Linked DNA regions of Neodiprion lecontei. Each later gene encodes a partner of the first gene's protein in a complex. Links are inferred from orthologs where the notes say so. Each region holds a gene or a part of one and is shown on either strand. Other genes may lie near its edges.

The links.
Region 2: the proteins of protein prenyltransferase alpha subunit repeat-containing protein 1 (region 1) and geranylgeranyl transferase type-2 subunit beta are in contact, whole or in part, in a crystal structure (PDB 6O60), measured with the Homo sapiens proteins. The link is inferred for Neodiprion lecontei from reciprocal best matches to the Homo sapiens genes PTAR1 and RABGGTB. Residues at the interface, in NP_001093136.1 of Homo sapiens: Val61, Lys62, Leu65, Pro66, His69, Leu73, Arg76, Leu97, Asn98, Asp100, Phe101, Thr102, Thr103, Asn106, Lys109, Glu110, Leu113, Ile141, Arg144, Trp145, Pro192, Ser193, Tyr195, Ser199, Ile202, Trp203, Gln206, Val231, Ser232, His234; in NP_004573.2 of Homo sapiens: Lys6, Asp36, Tyr37, Cys40, Met41, Glu43, Tyr44, Ile89, Gly90, His91, Asp92, Asp136, Trp138, Glu140, Phe177, Asp178, Gly182, Cys183, Arg184, Pro185, Gly186, Ser187, Glu188, Ser189, His190, Gln193, Trp217, Glu221, Arg222, Pro225.
Region 3: the proteins of protein prenyltransferase alpha subunit repeat-containing protein 1 (region 1) and synaptobrevin homolog YKT6 are in contact, whole or in part, in a crystal structure (PDB 6J7F), measured with the Homo sapiens proteins. The link is inferred for Neodiprion lecontei from reciprocal best matches to the Homo sapiens genes PTAR1 and YKT6. Residues at the interface, in NP_001093136.1 of Homo sapiens: Glu31, Gly33, Leu34, Ile35, Pro36, Val48, Val50, Glu51, Lys53, Leu54, Gly55, Ser58, Lys135, Tyr191, His225, Ser228, Met229, His230, Val231, Ser232, Asp233, Phe298, Asp301, Leu302, Ser305, Tyr306, His309; in NP_006546.1 of Homo sapiens: Met1, Ser29, Phe30, Phe31, Asn83, Glu84, Pro86, Gln131, Asn132, Pro133, Arg134, Gln180, Phe184, Arg189, Ser193.

Annotation. Positions count from the first base shown.
Region 1 is NC_060262.1:18,725,915-18,731,611, forward strand, and holds protein prenyltransferase alpha subunit repeat-containing protein 1, read right to left. Parts: upstream 3,715-5,697; 5' UTR 3,653-3,714; coding exon 3,564-3,652; intron 2,514-3,563; coding exon 1,319-2,513; 3' UTR 637-1,318; downstream 1-636.
Region 2 is NC_060266.1:23,069,307-23,073,496, forward strand, and holds geranylgeranyl transferase type-2 subunit beta, read right to left. Parts: upstream 2,543-4,190; 5' UTR 2,381-2,542; coding exon 2,378-2,380; intron 2,295-2,377; coding exon 2,190-2,294; intron 2,024-2,189; coding exon 1,667-2,023; intron 1,568-1,666; coding exon 1,423-1,567; intron 1,344-1,422; coding exon 1,168-1,343; intron 1,093-1,167; coding exon 883-1,092; 3' UTR 627-882; downstream 1-626. Other genes in the region: uncharacterized protein LOC124295337, read right to left, coding at 1-116. UniProt on the Homo sapiens protein: Catalyzes the transfer of a geranylgeranyl moiety from geranylgeranyl diphosphate to both cysteines of Rab proteins with the C-terminal sequence -XXCC, -XCXC and -CCXX, such as RAB1A, RAB3A, RAB5A and RAB7A.
Region 3 is NC_060263.1:35,806,920-35,812,340, forward strand, and holds synaptobrevin homolog YKT6, read right to left. Parts: upstream 3,707-5,421; 5' UTR 3,271-3,706; intron 3,134-3,270; 5' UTR 2,940-3,133; intron 2,856-2,939; 5' UTR 2,834-2,855; coding exon 2,644-2,833; intron 2,368-2,643; coding exon 2,096-2,367; intron 1,562-2,095; coding exon 1,421-1,561; 3' UTR 627-1,420; downstream 1-626. Other genes in the region: NADH dehydrogenase [ubiquinone] 1 alpha subcomplex subunit 10, mitochondrial, read left to right, coding at 1-108, 243-353; inhibitor of growth protein 5, read left to right, coding at 4,150-4,186, 4,730-5,182, 5,399-5,421. UniProt on the Homo sapiens protein: Vesicular soluble NSF attachment protein receptor (v-SNARE) mediating vesicle docking and fusion to a specific acceptor cellular compartment. Functions in endoplasmic reticulum to Golgi transport; as part of a SNARE complex composed of GOSR1, GOSR2 and STX5.

The DNA.
Region 1 (5,697 bases):
GATAAGAGCAACTGATAGGCGGGTTCAAAAGTAATGTCCTATTTTTTTTTTATCTTCCCGCTTCGTTTTTTCGCAGGAAAGAAAGATTCAGGGAAGTTAATACATACAATGGATTTTCGAATGGACGCTAGTTGTGTGTGTGTGATCAATACTTTGTCCGACGGTATCTGGAGAACGAATAAAGGAATTAGGATGATTTGGTTTCAATTGACGGGGCATATCTTGACTCAAGATTGAACAAATTTTGTATTTCATAGGTGATATAGTTCTCGAATTATAATATAAGAGTAAAAAAAAAATTGTATCCCACCCGTTAATGTTCTATGGACTCGAAACGCACCCTAGCGAGAAGTTCTTAAGCCGCGTTCTTAGGCCCAAAAAAGATCGGCCAAATTATCCACTTATTTCAAATGCGAATCCCCAGAATTCGTATATAAATTCGTAAGACACATATTTTTAACTAATAAACAAATTATTGTCATAGTTAATATAATACTCACAACTATGTTCTCATAAATGGTTTTTGGGTCTCTGTATTGTATGCATAATTATTTGATCAGATATTTTTTTCACTATAATAATCAAAATGGGCGCGTGAGATTTATACATGTCAATAATGGAAGTATCCAATTAATATGCATATAAATTTTTACAGTTTATTTAAAATATACAACTCTAATAAAGACTACCCTCTATACTATCTATAAACCGTGATTAGGGAACTTATCAATATGCCAGTCATAAAATCAGCTCATCCCTTAGACAACCACCTTGGCCAGGTAACTTTGGTAAACTTGAAACAATTTAAATATACGCACAACAGTAACATTCGTTCACATTCAGCGAAGGTAATTAGATACGTACATACATGTTTAACAAAAATTGTAATTTCCTTTATTACACGATAATCAAATAACGTTATATGATTAAACGACCGTTTCTCTACACCTTTTCATGGAAGTTGAACATACCTACCGATAGGTATAAGATGCAATGAAAACAGCTGACCCACTACCCCATTAACGCAATCTTACTTAGACGGGGATAGCTTACACACCAAGGCTGTGCGTTTAATCAATTAATCGTAGACTTGGAATAAAAATTTCTTTTTAAAAAAATCGATTTATACGTTTTCCAATCAATTTCCGGCGCTTTACTTGATCTTTTTTACGTGTCATCAATTAATCGGTTTTACAATAAATCGATTAATCACATAGGCCTGTTACACACCAAATACATAAACATACAATAAGGGTACACCAGTACTGTAGGTTCAATAAGTATCATTTTCCTAGAAAAATCGAAACAGCTTAAAAATTCACAATTCTAAACCAGAGCTCGTTAAAAACCTAGCAAATCTTTCGCCCATGATGTTTTGGTGACCGCCGACTTCTCTAGCTCTCGCAATTACATCCGAATTCCGCTTCCGGTACGCGGATTCCAACGGACTCTGTGCTCTGCGGTGAAATTCCAGAGTTTCAGATCCGTCTCCTTCACCGCCCAAAAGTCGGTGTAAATTTTTATCGATCAGTTCTGTTTTATAATAAGAATATCTCTCGTATGACTTGCTCATGACAACCAAGAGGTGAGAAAGAAACCTTCTGTGATACCAAAAAGACTCGTGACCTGGATAGAGATTGAGCAATTCTTCGTTAAACATACATTCTTCAGCCCAATATGAGAGACCGGTGAGGATAGAAAGATAGTCAGTGTTGTGGCGATTTTGGTGACCAGGGGTGGCGTGCAAATAGTTTAAAACTTGATAACATGGAGCAGTCAAAATATGAGCGGTATCTTCAAGTTTAACAAATTTGGCGATGGTTTCCCTGAATTTCATTTCTTGCCTGGTTATATGAGTGAATTCGTCATCAGCCTGGAGAAGCCTCTTCATCAAAAATTGTCGATAAGCAAACCCGCTGTAGTCGGATATGTGGAGACTGCACCATTTTCCCGAAGTCAGCCATTCTGACTCTAAAAATGAGGCAAAAGTACATGGAGAATATATGGCGAAGGTGGTAACAATGTACTCGCGATGATTCCAGGCGTGATAGTTGTTTGCGTATCTATCAGCGGACATCGAGGAAATGTCCACTTCGTTTTTCAGCAGTCTTTCAACATCCAACGTTTCAAGTGTGTTAGCACTACTAAACGCGAATTGGAGAAGCCAACGCCTGTAAGCGAACGCTTCGAAGCATTTTGCTTTGTAGTACAGAACAACCGCAACGAAGTGTAGTTCACCTTTCCACTCAAGTCTTCCATTCCTCACAAGTTCTCGCCGCATGTTCCAAAACGTTGTTACGTCAGGATTCAACAACAATGCACCTAGTAGCCATCGGGAAATAGTACTCGGGTCCTCCCTTTTATTGCGATTCTGACGCAATTCGAGCAGTCGATTGTATGTGTAACGGTATAGCGGTTTCACACTCCATGATGCTAGGCCTAGAGAATTATCAGCATGAAGCACTGGTGATTTGTTCTCGTTGTCCACCGCAGGTATTATTTCGAAGCCGATCCTGCCAAACATTAATGATGATATATTTACTTTTCGGTAAATAAAAATAAGCAGGTTTCAAATATTGGCATGAATTTTCTAATGCATTATAAAAATGAATGTTCCAATATTGCATACTGCGAAATATGGATTTCAAGAATGATTTGCAAGAAGTGTTCCAAAGATATTGCCTGGGCGCCGTATAAACAGCATTTGCGAATTTGCATATACTTTCTAAATTGCCGGTTATTTGAAAATAATACTATTTTTTATGTCATATTTTGAAATTGGACCGTCTATCTGGGACACTCAGTAAAATTTACGAATTCTAGCATCGAGTGAAATAAAATCAGTTCAAGGTATGATCTAGTAAAAATTTACCTAACTGGAAAGGTGATGAAATCAGGATACAATAAAACGAAAATTAATCATTTCGAATTTTATTTAAAAAATCTGTTGAGGAAGATTGGAAAAATTTGACATCTGCAAATCTAAATTACAAAAGTACATTTGTTAATAACATTAGAAAGATTACATTATCAGTCCATTCTTCAAATAAAAATGTCACAATGTTTGTCGAAGAGAAGAAATAAGCATTTTGTCTATCACAGGTCATTTACATAGATCTGAAGCCAAAAGTGGACTTAAATGTTGAAAATTTTTTCTTGCTGAATAAAATTTTGGAAACTCACTGGCAAATCGTAGAACTTTTGTAACAGAACTTTTTGCACAGATTATCATGACTTTATTCCAAACTCGTAATTTTAATTGATTAAATTTTGAACTCAAAGCATTTTAGTAGAGAAAACAAAATAATGGGGGAATGAAGTCTTGAAATGAATTGCATGCAATATCATATGAGTTTTGAGGCTGTAGAGATGGATTCTATTTCAAACTTTTGGTGATTGAACAATTCCTGGATATTAATGCATACTAATATGTGACACTTCAGCTGTGCCAGATTTGAAAAGCATACAGCAAGAGATATAGACGAAGATTAACACAAAATAATCTAAAAGCAACTTTGTATTGTCAATAGTAGGTGTATAAATTTACATAATTATGTACATACATATGTGCAAGCTCGTTTACAGTGACATACCGATAGTGCTGGGTACACGTAAAAACAGATATAGTCCGCATGATATGGATGAAATGCATAAAAAAAACTCGGATTTTCTGTACAACGAATAAATCCTGTTTGTCTGACTGTAAGAATATTCGAAAACCCCGCCCATATTGGTCCCAAAACTCACAGATTCGGATCCTTCTGCAACACAATCTCGATGTCAGAAAGTATTTTCTCAGCCGCGGGGAAAAAGTCCTCCTGCATCGTGTGACTGGCTGATTTTTGTTACATTTCTTTCAGGGTCAATGCTGAACTGGTTCGGAACACTTTCTCGTATTTTGTACGTACACGCTGCGGCACATCCGCCATGAATGATGTGAAGGTTGCTTTTTTTTTTTGCTATTTTTTCCTTCTCTTTTTATTTTCTGCGAAAGTTGTTAAAAACTGTCTGTAGTTGGCATGACGCGTCCTCGATGGTAAAATATATCGAAGATAACGCCGGGTCATCGACGATCTGAAGAAAAGGTAAGTTCCTTGACTGAAGCCAGTCACCGACAGGTATTTCCGCAGTTTCGAAATTCCCACGCCTCGTGTTCTACATTATAATAGCAATGTCATTATCACTTGAAATGCCACATAATTTTTTCAAGTATAAATATGTATTCAAGAATTTATTTTACCGCTTGGCATGATCAGCCATTTACTGTTGACGTATCTACCAAAAGCCTTCATGCGAATCCATTTTCAAGGCTGGTCGACACTGGTCGACACCACGACACGCATCAATCATGTTACCACGTAGTACTACTACTTCTCCATAGGGTTGGGTTCCGAAACTTCAGACCACCTCATACCAGATCAGTATGAGTGCGTTCCGATATTCTCCAGCTGTGCTAAAAACTCCCTAGGACAGAGCCAGACTAACCGACAAACTAGGCAGCGCAACAAAGATGAAAGATTGATGATAGCACTGGGAGCTAATATCGAAACACGGAGTAGTAGAAAGGAGGCAACACTATGCGATGAAACTTGTCCCCAGTTTTGAAGTAATGTAAATAGAATTGTCTTAATGCGATTCAAGCGCCTCTTATGGAAAGAATAAAATTTTCGCTGTAAAATGTAAAAAGGAAGGGCGCCGATCGCAACCTATAAACCTCCGTACTATATACATATTCCGTAAACTCGTAATATACGCATTTGAAGTGAGATAAAACGGATAAAACCAGTGAAAACTGAGTAATTGCAATTCTAACCTCGACCGACTTTAAATCCAAGAAAAAGGTGGCAAACGTGAAATCGAAATATCATAGGGAGGACGGAGGAGAGCGCTATGCGAAATTGATGAGCGAGAAGGATAGAATTGGAGATTAATCGTAATTAGTTTTTATAATGGCTTTGAAAGAACTTGATATTTTATTTGACTGATTTAACAGTACACGACTTTCAACGGCTTTGTTTCCATGTGCCGTTTTCCGCATTAACTTACAGACCGTCTGTTGATACGCGGCCATGATTGGTCGGGACCTGAACCACGGTCTTACATACAGGTCTGGAAACTCCATTGGAGGGGGTAGGCTAGGAGTGACTCAGATATTGAATCAATTTGTAGTTTACAGTTTCGGCACTGCGTCGCTACTATCTAGTAGGGCTGAGTTACAGAACCTCAAATTTCGTTATTAGGCTGTAGCGCGCTTGCGCCAACAGAGAGAAATTTTTTCTATCTCTGTCGCTCACAGGTGATACGGGTGACCCTACTAGGCTACAGCGACCCTTGCGGCCAATCTAAGAATTATTGAAAGGAAACTCAAGAAGCACTGTCAAGAAGTGAGTCACCCCCACCACCAGAATTTCCAGACCTGCATGTAAGACCGTGATCTGAACCCTCATTTTACACATCTATACACGGCGTTACCCGATGACGAAAGTTGATTGTTCCTCGATGTGACTTTGGATGTGTATTGCGATAGGTTGTGAAAAGTCTAACTTGTCATCTTGTCCCGAACGTTCGTTCGACGCCGTGCGGATTTCACCGCGCTTCCCATGGAGCCAATGAAAGTGTAAGTTGTATGGTCGGCGTGGTGGCGTCACGCTGAGTTACAGGCGTACAGCGAATCGTATTCATTTTGGTTGTTCTCGG
Region 2 (4,190 bases), on another chromosome or scaffold:
TGTTCAACGTGAAAATCTCTTCCAGTTTCTAGAATCGATTTCAGTGAACCGGTACCGCCTCCAAGTAATAAAAAAACTAGGGTAACAATTATAAGAAGAGATTGGTTACGATGCATACTGCCGAAAAATACTGGTACCGTAATTCTTGATTTCTAGTTCAAAGACTGACTTTAGTAATAATAAAAGGTTGAGAAAAGTGACCAACATACGGCGTTACAACTGCTAATGTTCTCCATCAATTATCACTGTCAATAACACGTCACCTTAATGGACAAGGTTTGATGGATTGTACAATCATTATTCAATAATGCTGGACACGATTTTGGCCTGTAGTCAAATTACCCAAGAATTTGAAACTAAAGTAACAATCTCGAACACATTTCTGAAAATCGAACTTACATGTACATTAACTGCCGATCATTCGATTGTCTATAGTCGTGCTACATCCGTAATAAATGAATGCGTGCGTAATGTCGAATTACAAAAACGAACAAGGGAATATCAACAGGTGTTTGGTCTCGAGTAAATGCGATTAAGTGTAATAAATTGTATGATTCATCGCAGTTTTTCATGGTTAATCTATAAACACGTTTAAGTCTATATTATTTGGACGTGCATTAACCGAATAATCATAAAGGTAGAAGTTTATTACAGGTTCATCTACACAACCGACTTGCGAGAAACGAATGAATAAAATTTGATACAGCAATTCGCAGAGGAATGTTTGATAAAGATTTAAATATATTACAGAAACGGCATACAAGAATTGACAATTCTGTTGTTCGTATACTTTTCTCTCTCTCTCTCTCTCGCTTTTTCTCCCTCTCTTTCTTTCTTATTAGTCGCGTGAATGTCTTTTTGTTCACCTAATTGTTGCAAATATTAATCCACCCGTGAGGGCTTAAGACCGATTCGGTCGATCACGTACTGCGGCATACAGTACGTCGGATTTACAGGTTTCAACGAAGAGTCCGCGTCCAAGAGCGAAATGGCCGTCAGACCGAACAGCGTGTGGAAAGGGTCAACCATGTCTCCAGGGCGATCGCTGAACCCACCCGTTTCAGGATCCTGACACGCCAAGACGAAATTTATCTGGGACGAAAAATCAGTAGCGTTAAACTCGAACAACACAACAAGGAACTAAAAAGCCAAATAAACGCGTGTTACCAGCTCATTTTTGTCTATCCAATGAAGACGACCCAAAATAGTTAGCGAGGACAAAACCCACCATGAATAACAAACGTCGGGTAATTTTTCAGGTCTCCCGTTGAGCCCGCCGGATGGTAGCTGCCTTTCGCATAGCCACCAGCCCAGCTGGTCAGCATCAATTTCGTGAAGGTGTCCTTTGAGGTGAAAGGATCTTGATTAATAACAAGCATATTACCTCAAGTTAAAAAGAATAAAAAGTCGCACAACGCGTACCGGTTATTGACAAGAACGCAACGCAACAGTAAATCAAACCAGCGTGACTCTCAGAGCCTGGTTTTGAACCAAAACCACCGTCGAAATTCATGCAGCTCAAGACATACTCAACAGCTTTGTCAACGTTTATCGCATCCAGTCTACCCTGATGAAGGAAGAAACACGAAGTGAGTATTTGGATTTGCAATCACATAAATAGAAAGTCTTTCTGGTCTTGCGAGATGCTCAATTTTAGACATCTCACCAGTAACGAAAGAGTGGCGACTGCGCAGAATGAAAATCTGTTATCCAATTCGCCCCAGATATCCCCTGTGAAACTTCCATCAGGCATCTGCCTTTTTTGCACGTATTCGACGACTTTTTCAACATCTATAACATCCAGAGCATCGTACATGCACAATATCTGCACGGCGCTCAGGGTGTAAAGTAAGTGGGGATCGTGGTCAATGCTGGCACTGATTCCACCACAGTCGTGCTGGCACTTTGCTACAAATTCCAAAACCTCCTGCTTGTCCATTCTGTCCAATTGACCCATCAAATCCATTGCCGTTAGACCCCAAAACATTCCAGACATCCTGAGGTACTCGGTCATACAGAATTCCTGAATAGAAGAATTTTTAACATCGGTCAGATTGTTGATCAAATTTAATCCCATTTGCGCTAATTAACTCGAATCAAATATCCAAAGGTATTTCAGTTGGAATAAACAATCGTCATGGTTGGGTTAATCACTTTTTTATAATAAATACAATTTCCTAGGCACTTACATAATCGTCTTTGTTGTTACCATAGGAGGCTAAATAATTTCCGTGTTTCTCTATAAGTAATTTTGGAATTTTTGGTGGTAATACGACGTCTTTCATCAGCTTCGACTGAAAAATTTTTAGGTTAAATAGGGTTAGATTAGATCAGGTCAGATTCAAAGAATTGATTATATCTTAAGGATTTTCCTCACCATTCTGAGCGCCGAATTCCATTCGATAGGCAGTAAAATTAATAAGTCATCGACTTATCCATATTTATTACACAGAAAATAAGTATCACTTATGTCGCTTCAGCTGTAATCTGACGTTTCCAAAATCGTCGAAACAACAGACAACACAGACTCCCCATAGACTCTTCCTTCCCTATGAGCAGCCACCCTCTGACAAGAAACAAGTTGTTCGTTTCAACCAATTTTTAACTGATACTACAGGCCTCTCAGTAACCGACTGGAATTTACAATCTTGAAATCAGCAGATAATGCAGAGTGCTTCATGTATGACAATGTCGCATTCCATACTAACCGACAAGAAAAATTATTCTCACTGTACAGGTTTAAAATTAACCCTTAAAACATTTCTCTGGACCAAAATATGTTGAAGACGTGAGATAAAAATATGGCAATAAATATTGAAAGATAGCGATATTGAAAAAAAGATAAAGAAACATTTCAATGAAATTTTAGAGTCACCAATTTTAAGAATTGTATGAAACTGAGCTAACAAATTGTATTCCCTATTAGACAGTTATATTTAATAGGTGATACTAAATTTTCAGAAGTGTTAATTTTTTCATGCAAATATGTGAGTTTAAGACTCACTAAATTGTCGTGCATGATTCGCACAATGGTTTTACAGAAACAAGAAATTCTCTTTGATAAAAATAATGAAATAACTCACACGAATGTTAGGAAAAACATCAATTCTTCTAAATAAACAGTATGGAAATTATTCGATCACTCGACTGGAAGAAAGAACCCATCTGCGCATGGCTGATACAAAAGCTCATGTTTGCGAGATGCCGTCGCCCATGTTTCAGGCGTATCATTGACCGACGGAAATAACTTTTGTCGATTTTTAAAGTTACGAATAAACGAAAACGAGACTTCAATTCCCATCAACACAGGAGATTTTCACAGAAATTGAAATTCATTATTGTCATTGTAAATAATGATCGATGGGTGTGAATAATGATCAACTTGGATTCTCTCTGACTAAACTGGGAAAGTTCAAATTCATCACTATTCTGTATGCATGATGACCAATGAAAATGAGAATCTGTTTCTAGCTTTAAACAAATATTCACCCTGAATTATCTAACTTCTTTGATTTTGCAATGAATTTTCTGACTCCGTTCGTATTTATTTATTGTCGGCCCTTCATCTGAAGCGAACTAGATAAATTTTTTCGGCAATAGATTGACGATTATTTGTGCCAGGATAAAAACAAAAGTATTACATTCGTGTGACATGGGGAGTCACTAACTATGAGTCGCATTGTTATTAGTCATATGCGTACACACACGTATAGAAAAAAATTATCCAAAAAAAATTCGTAAGTTGGTCAAATATACGTACAACTGATTCTAACAATTCCACAAATTAGTACATTCTATAAGAGAATAAACACAAATAATCATTATGAAAATACGTTTATTGAAATAGATTGAATCACATTTGCTAGTTTCCACACCTCCGTAAACGGTAGAGCAATCGACGCGTTTTTGTTTTTTTTTTTCTCTTAGCTTGGTATCCCTAGTGGCCCTATTCGACAAAGAAGAGTTGCAGGATTTATTATACGTTCGTTGGAAATATACAGATGATTTTATCTCGCATTTCGATTTCGGTAAACAGCTTTTACTAATTAATTTCTGCTCATATATATACGCAGTTTGTTCGAAGATTTTTAGTCCATTTAACCTGCTGACTATTAACTATCAATGAAAGATGATTGCTTTAATTGTGGACGAATAATGGTTGTTTTAATTACGGATAAAGGGTGACTGCA
Region 3 (5,421 bases), on another chromosome or scaffold:
GATGAAGTATTATCATTCAAAGTGCTATTTAACTTAGGGGAAGTCAATGCACCAGAGCTCATTGTATCAGGAGCTGATCATCTCGCATATCAAAAGGTTTGGGAAAATGTAAGTATTTCAGTCTGATCTACAGATTCAACCGATTAGTTATTGATTAAAAAAAAGTAACTTCTGTAAAAATGTCACTACATTTTTCGAAAATATTTTCTTACATATGTTTATATCTTTGTTTTTGTAACTAGGCACCTGGTAACAAGTATATGAAAGGCTTCAATAAAGATATGGGAGATACGGGATTACTGTGGAAAGGGCGCCCTACTATTCGGGAATACAGAATGCCGTTTTTTTCGTAAACTAGGTGCTGCTAAAAACATAAGAAAAAATTCACAAATCGGCAGAAGTGATTACATTGTAGTGCACCGAATTGAAGTTGTCCTGGTAGACTTGTACAAACCGACAAATTACAATAAATAACATTCTATGTAATTCATACTTATGGTCAATTACTTACATTTCACGTTCCTTGGCACTGAGAGTAGATAAACATCACGTTTAGAGGAAAAAATTGGAGTGGTATTTTTTAAATTTAGACATGATATATTGAAATACTTTTTAAATACATAAATACGTACACATATTTTTTTGTTTCATCCATAATTGAACTCTTATCCAATGCCGAAACTGCATAACGGAATAACAAGTTACATTCCATTTGCAATAAGAATAACATATCAACGACAAAGAAGACGTTTAATAGACATTGGGTTACATAGATTTTGTGAAATTTCTGTTTATGTGTCTTAAAAGGAAAGGATATTAAAGTCTGTATGTATACAATCCAATTAAAATTAACCCCACTTTTTGATTAAACTGAAGTAACTTGAGTTGAATACTGAACTCTGTGACATTCTTTATGATGCTAGACAACACTGATTACTCTCGAATACAATCTGATGACGTCTTGAAAAATTATCCCTTTGCAATCAAGACACATAAAATTCAGTCACTCGTATTTCAACATTGATGGATAATATGTTGCATTAAAGCATATTGTTCATTAACATATATTAAGGATAACATTACTTACTTAGGCCTCTTTAAAAACATCCATACCTTCGGCTGCGCAATATTTAAATCAATCTTGCTCAATAGAAAATATACAAGTGAAATCTATTGGTAAGACAAACCACCTTTTGCAATCGGAGGTAAAATCCATTCAAAAATTAAAAAATTGTACATTCACAGGTAATTAATTATACCGAGGAGGCAAAATCATCTGAACAATAAACTGTTGCGGCAGGCAAAAGTTATCAATTAGCTTTCAAATTTCAAACATTACTCAACATTCTTTTCTTGACAAACCTATCTTCACATTTGTAACACAATAATATGAACACAATGGAATCATGGTATACCGTGTTTAAGCCGTCAAGCTGCAACAGGAATTGGTTTTCCGTGCTGTTTTGTAAAATGCTTTTGACTGCATGCTAAGGCCTTCTGATTTTGACACCAAATCGTCCAATTTTTCGCCCCTTTCTAAAACTGCTTCTATTGTATTATGCTGTAAGAAAAATGAATTACTGTATTCATAGAAATAGACACTTGTGATTCTTTATAGTATCTTATCTGCATCAGTTACATAATCTTTCAATACACAATAACTATCTGAAAACTAACAACAGCACATAAATGAATGCCACTGTTTACATCTCAGAAAATGAATTGGAAGCATTGCTTGCTAGACAGAGAGTGCAGTACATAAGAAAAACCTCTAGGATTGGAAAGAAAAATAGATAATGACACTACTTTGTTTGGAACATGTATTTTTTAATATTAATGCAATGATGCGACTTGAAAATTCTCTGAAATTTAGTAAGTAACAATAATAAAATAAAAAACATTATTTTTTGGCAAATTCGTCTTCTTCAAAGTCATTCTAAAGTTAAAAAACAGAGATTTTTTATAAATGATTTGTAAGAGTACTAATGTTACGAATTTCAAACTCATTTGTCCAATTATATTTCATAAACGACCAAACCGACGAGCTGAAACTGGATAACTAAGAAACTCAGTTTAAGAAAATCTTCAAACTCACCAAAATGATCTTGGTTTCATCAAGGTCATTCTGCATTTTTGTAAATGCATCTGCTTCCCGGGGATTTTGATATTTCGCCAAGTACGTATTCACTTGTGGAAATATTGTTGTCGCTTCATTTAAAGTGGCACATGTACTGGGTGGGTACTGGGCAGCAAATTCATCTAGTACTTTTGTGATCAACGTGTGCGAAACTCTGCTAGGATACTCATGATCGGAGATTAGAACGCCAGCTAAATTATCCGCTCTCACATAAACGTGACACATATACTCTGAAAGAACAGAGAAAATATGTGAACTTAGTGAGACAATCGGTAGCAACCTGAAAATAGATAATATAGAAAAAAAACAGACAATAAGCACGCACGGAGCAAAAATTAACTGAAATGAAACGGCTGTTTCAAGGTCTTTAGAAATGTTGTTAATATTAAGCAAGCAATGGTTTGTTTTTAAAAGTAGTTTCTACACCGAAACCAATGTCATTCATAATAGTTGCAGATCACGATGAAATGATATTTTATAAAGTACAGAGACTGGAAAATAAATACCTTTTTCCTTGACGCTTTGTCTGGCTGCAATTTGAGTTCTTTCAGTAATCGTTTTACTGACAAATGCCATAAATTCCTGAGCACTACTGCGTTGAAAAAACGAAAAAGATCCAAGTTCATAAGCTGATTTGATCGTTGTTGCTGTAGTTGGGCCTTTGTATAGGATGGTTAAAGCGTACAATTTGACCATTTTCGACTGTAACAAAAACAAGCTATTTGCATTGCAGTTTTTTTCTAAAAGATTATCGTTTTTCACATATCGTACACATTAACATTTGATGTAGATAATTGCTTACCTAGTGAACTCGGCTAGCCGGGAGTTCAGGAAAGAAGACTAAGAAGATACAACCGACGTAAGCCTAGGAAAATTTCGGCTCCAACTAGAACTTGACCTCCTTTCGTTACCTAGTTTTCAACTCTCACCGCCGGTAGAATCTTGTTGTCAGTCGCACTGCCAGTGTGGCAATGATCATTATTTGATTTTTCTTTCCTACAAGAATATCAAAAAATTGGACTCATTCAGCGCGATACTATGTGAAAGTAAAACAAAGTGATATGAAGTGAAATTAAGATAAGGGCAGTCGGAATTGTGTCACACAATATTTGAGAGAATTTTCTGCTTTTTACCTCCGTTAATGAAATCCTGATTCAGAGGGTAGATCCGCGGAAAAATGAACTAAAATTGTTGTTTTTGGCTCCGCCCTCCTCGGTTAAAGGCAAATGTCAAATCGCGTACCTTACCACTTACAAGCTTGCTGCGACTACTAACAGCACTGACACATCACCCACTAGAACTGCGCGTCGCAGACGGCGGGCGACGTCCGACGACACGCATACACGTAACACGGGTATGTCCGTCGCAGGGCTTGGGAAGGGGATTGTAGGGGGGATTGCAGACGGAGGTCGGCGACACGACGTTTGTTTTAAGATCGTTCAAATCAAGTTCAAATCATTCAAATTTTCACTATGATGAAGTGACGATCTCGAGTTGTATTCCGTTTGGAGAAGTAATTTTAATCAATAAGATTTAATTGAAATTATTTTACATGATAAGGATGCCCACTTTTCTTCCACACCGTCACAATTCAGCAATTCAGCGGTAACCGATGCACACTGTGCATACATATGTTATCCATATAGTTAGTCGTAACGTGCGAATGACTCAGAGTGTGTCGCCACCTCCGCTGTGTTGTGTAAACTCCCCCGCAGGCTTGTCCGAATAAAGTGTGAATAAAATCGGCCGACTGAATTATGCACACACAGTGACACTGGTCAGTTTTGTGTACGTATGTGCCAATTAGAAGGAATTCAATTTCCACCCATATACAAAAGTGAGAGAATGGAGTAGGTGTAACGATTTCAACTTTATTACTAGTGATGTGAAGTCAATAATAACAGTGTGTGGTATAATAATCGGTTCCACTATACCCTGCACAAGCAAACTTCGAGTAATTAAAAAAAAAAAACGCAAGCCCGGGGTTTCTACCGCGGTGTCTACCCTGCGAAATGACGTCCGCATTGTACTTGGAACATTACCTGGACAGTAAGTAAACTTTTATTTATGGTTGTTTAACAAGAAGAATATCGCTTGTTGTAACCACGGTCAGGTAGAATCAAACTAGACCTCTCAATATGAGGTCCCTTGAAGTTTACTTCATTAATCAGTTACATTCTTTAGCCTACCGTCAATGAACTTAACCTATCAATAAGCTAACCAACATGGGATGTCAATGAGTCGGTGTTGAAGTTAATATTTTTCAGGAAACAAATTGATGTTCAGAAGAGATATTTATGTGAGATGCTAGGACATCTGTGCCAAAATATAACGTTATTATCTTTTTTGTTATGTGAAAGTTACGTGAAGTATATTCTAAGTGCTTACACCAATAAAAACTCGTAGTTTTCCTAAATAGTTGCATCTCACATAACCATAACTTCTGATGAAAAAATTGAATTTTTTCAAGCGGGAAATTTCTTTATTCCTCTGCAAATGAAAACTATCATGTTGTAAAATATTAACATTTCATTAGAAATTGCGGGAAAACCTTACCAGTTTGAAATTCAGTCATTTTCCAACACTTTTCAGGTTTAGATAATCTACCGATTGAACTACAACGAAATTTCACATTGATGCGTGATCTGGATGCACGTGCGCAGGGGCTGATGAAAGATCTAGACAAGCTGGCTGATGAATATTTGAGAAATGTGAAAACGCTTTCGGCGGATAAGAAAAAAGAACAGTTAAATCACATCCAAAGTCTTTTCAACAAAGCTAAAGAATATGGGGACGATAAGGTTCAATTGGCTATACAGACCTACGAGCTGGTTGACAAACACATTAGAAGACTCGATTCAGACCTTGCTAGATTTGAAGCAGAAATTCAAGACAAGGCATTGAATACAAATAGAGTCCAGGAAGATAGTGCTGTTAGTAAAAAAGGCAGGAAGAAACTCAAAGAGAAAGAAAAACGAAAGAAAGGAAGTGCTGGAGCTAGTAGCGAAGACGAATCAAAGATTGCGCGCAAAAAGCAGAAAAAAGGTGTGACTAATGTTTTTTCTATCAATGCCTATGTTTACTCCTGTAGTATTGTGTAACAACTAGTTTAAATATCTTTTGATATTCAGATTTTGATCCTTCCTGTTGAATGAAAATCAAGATTATACTTTTTTTCAAATACCTTATTGTAATTGAAGATTAGTGATTTGTGAAGTTTTTCTCATTGAAACACAAAATTTAAATAAATGAATTTCTTAGGTGGATCCGTTACTTCAACTGCT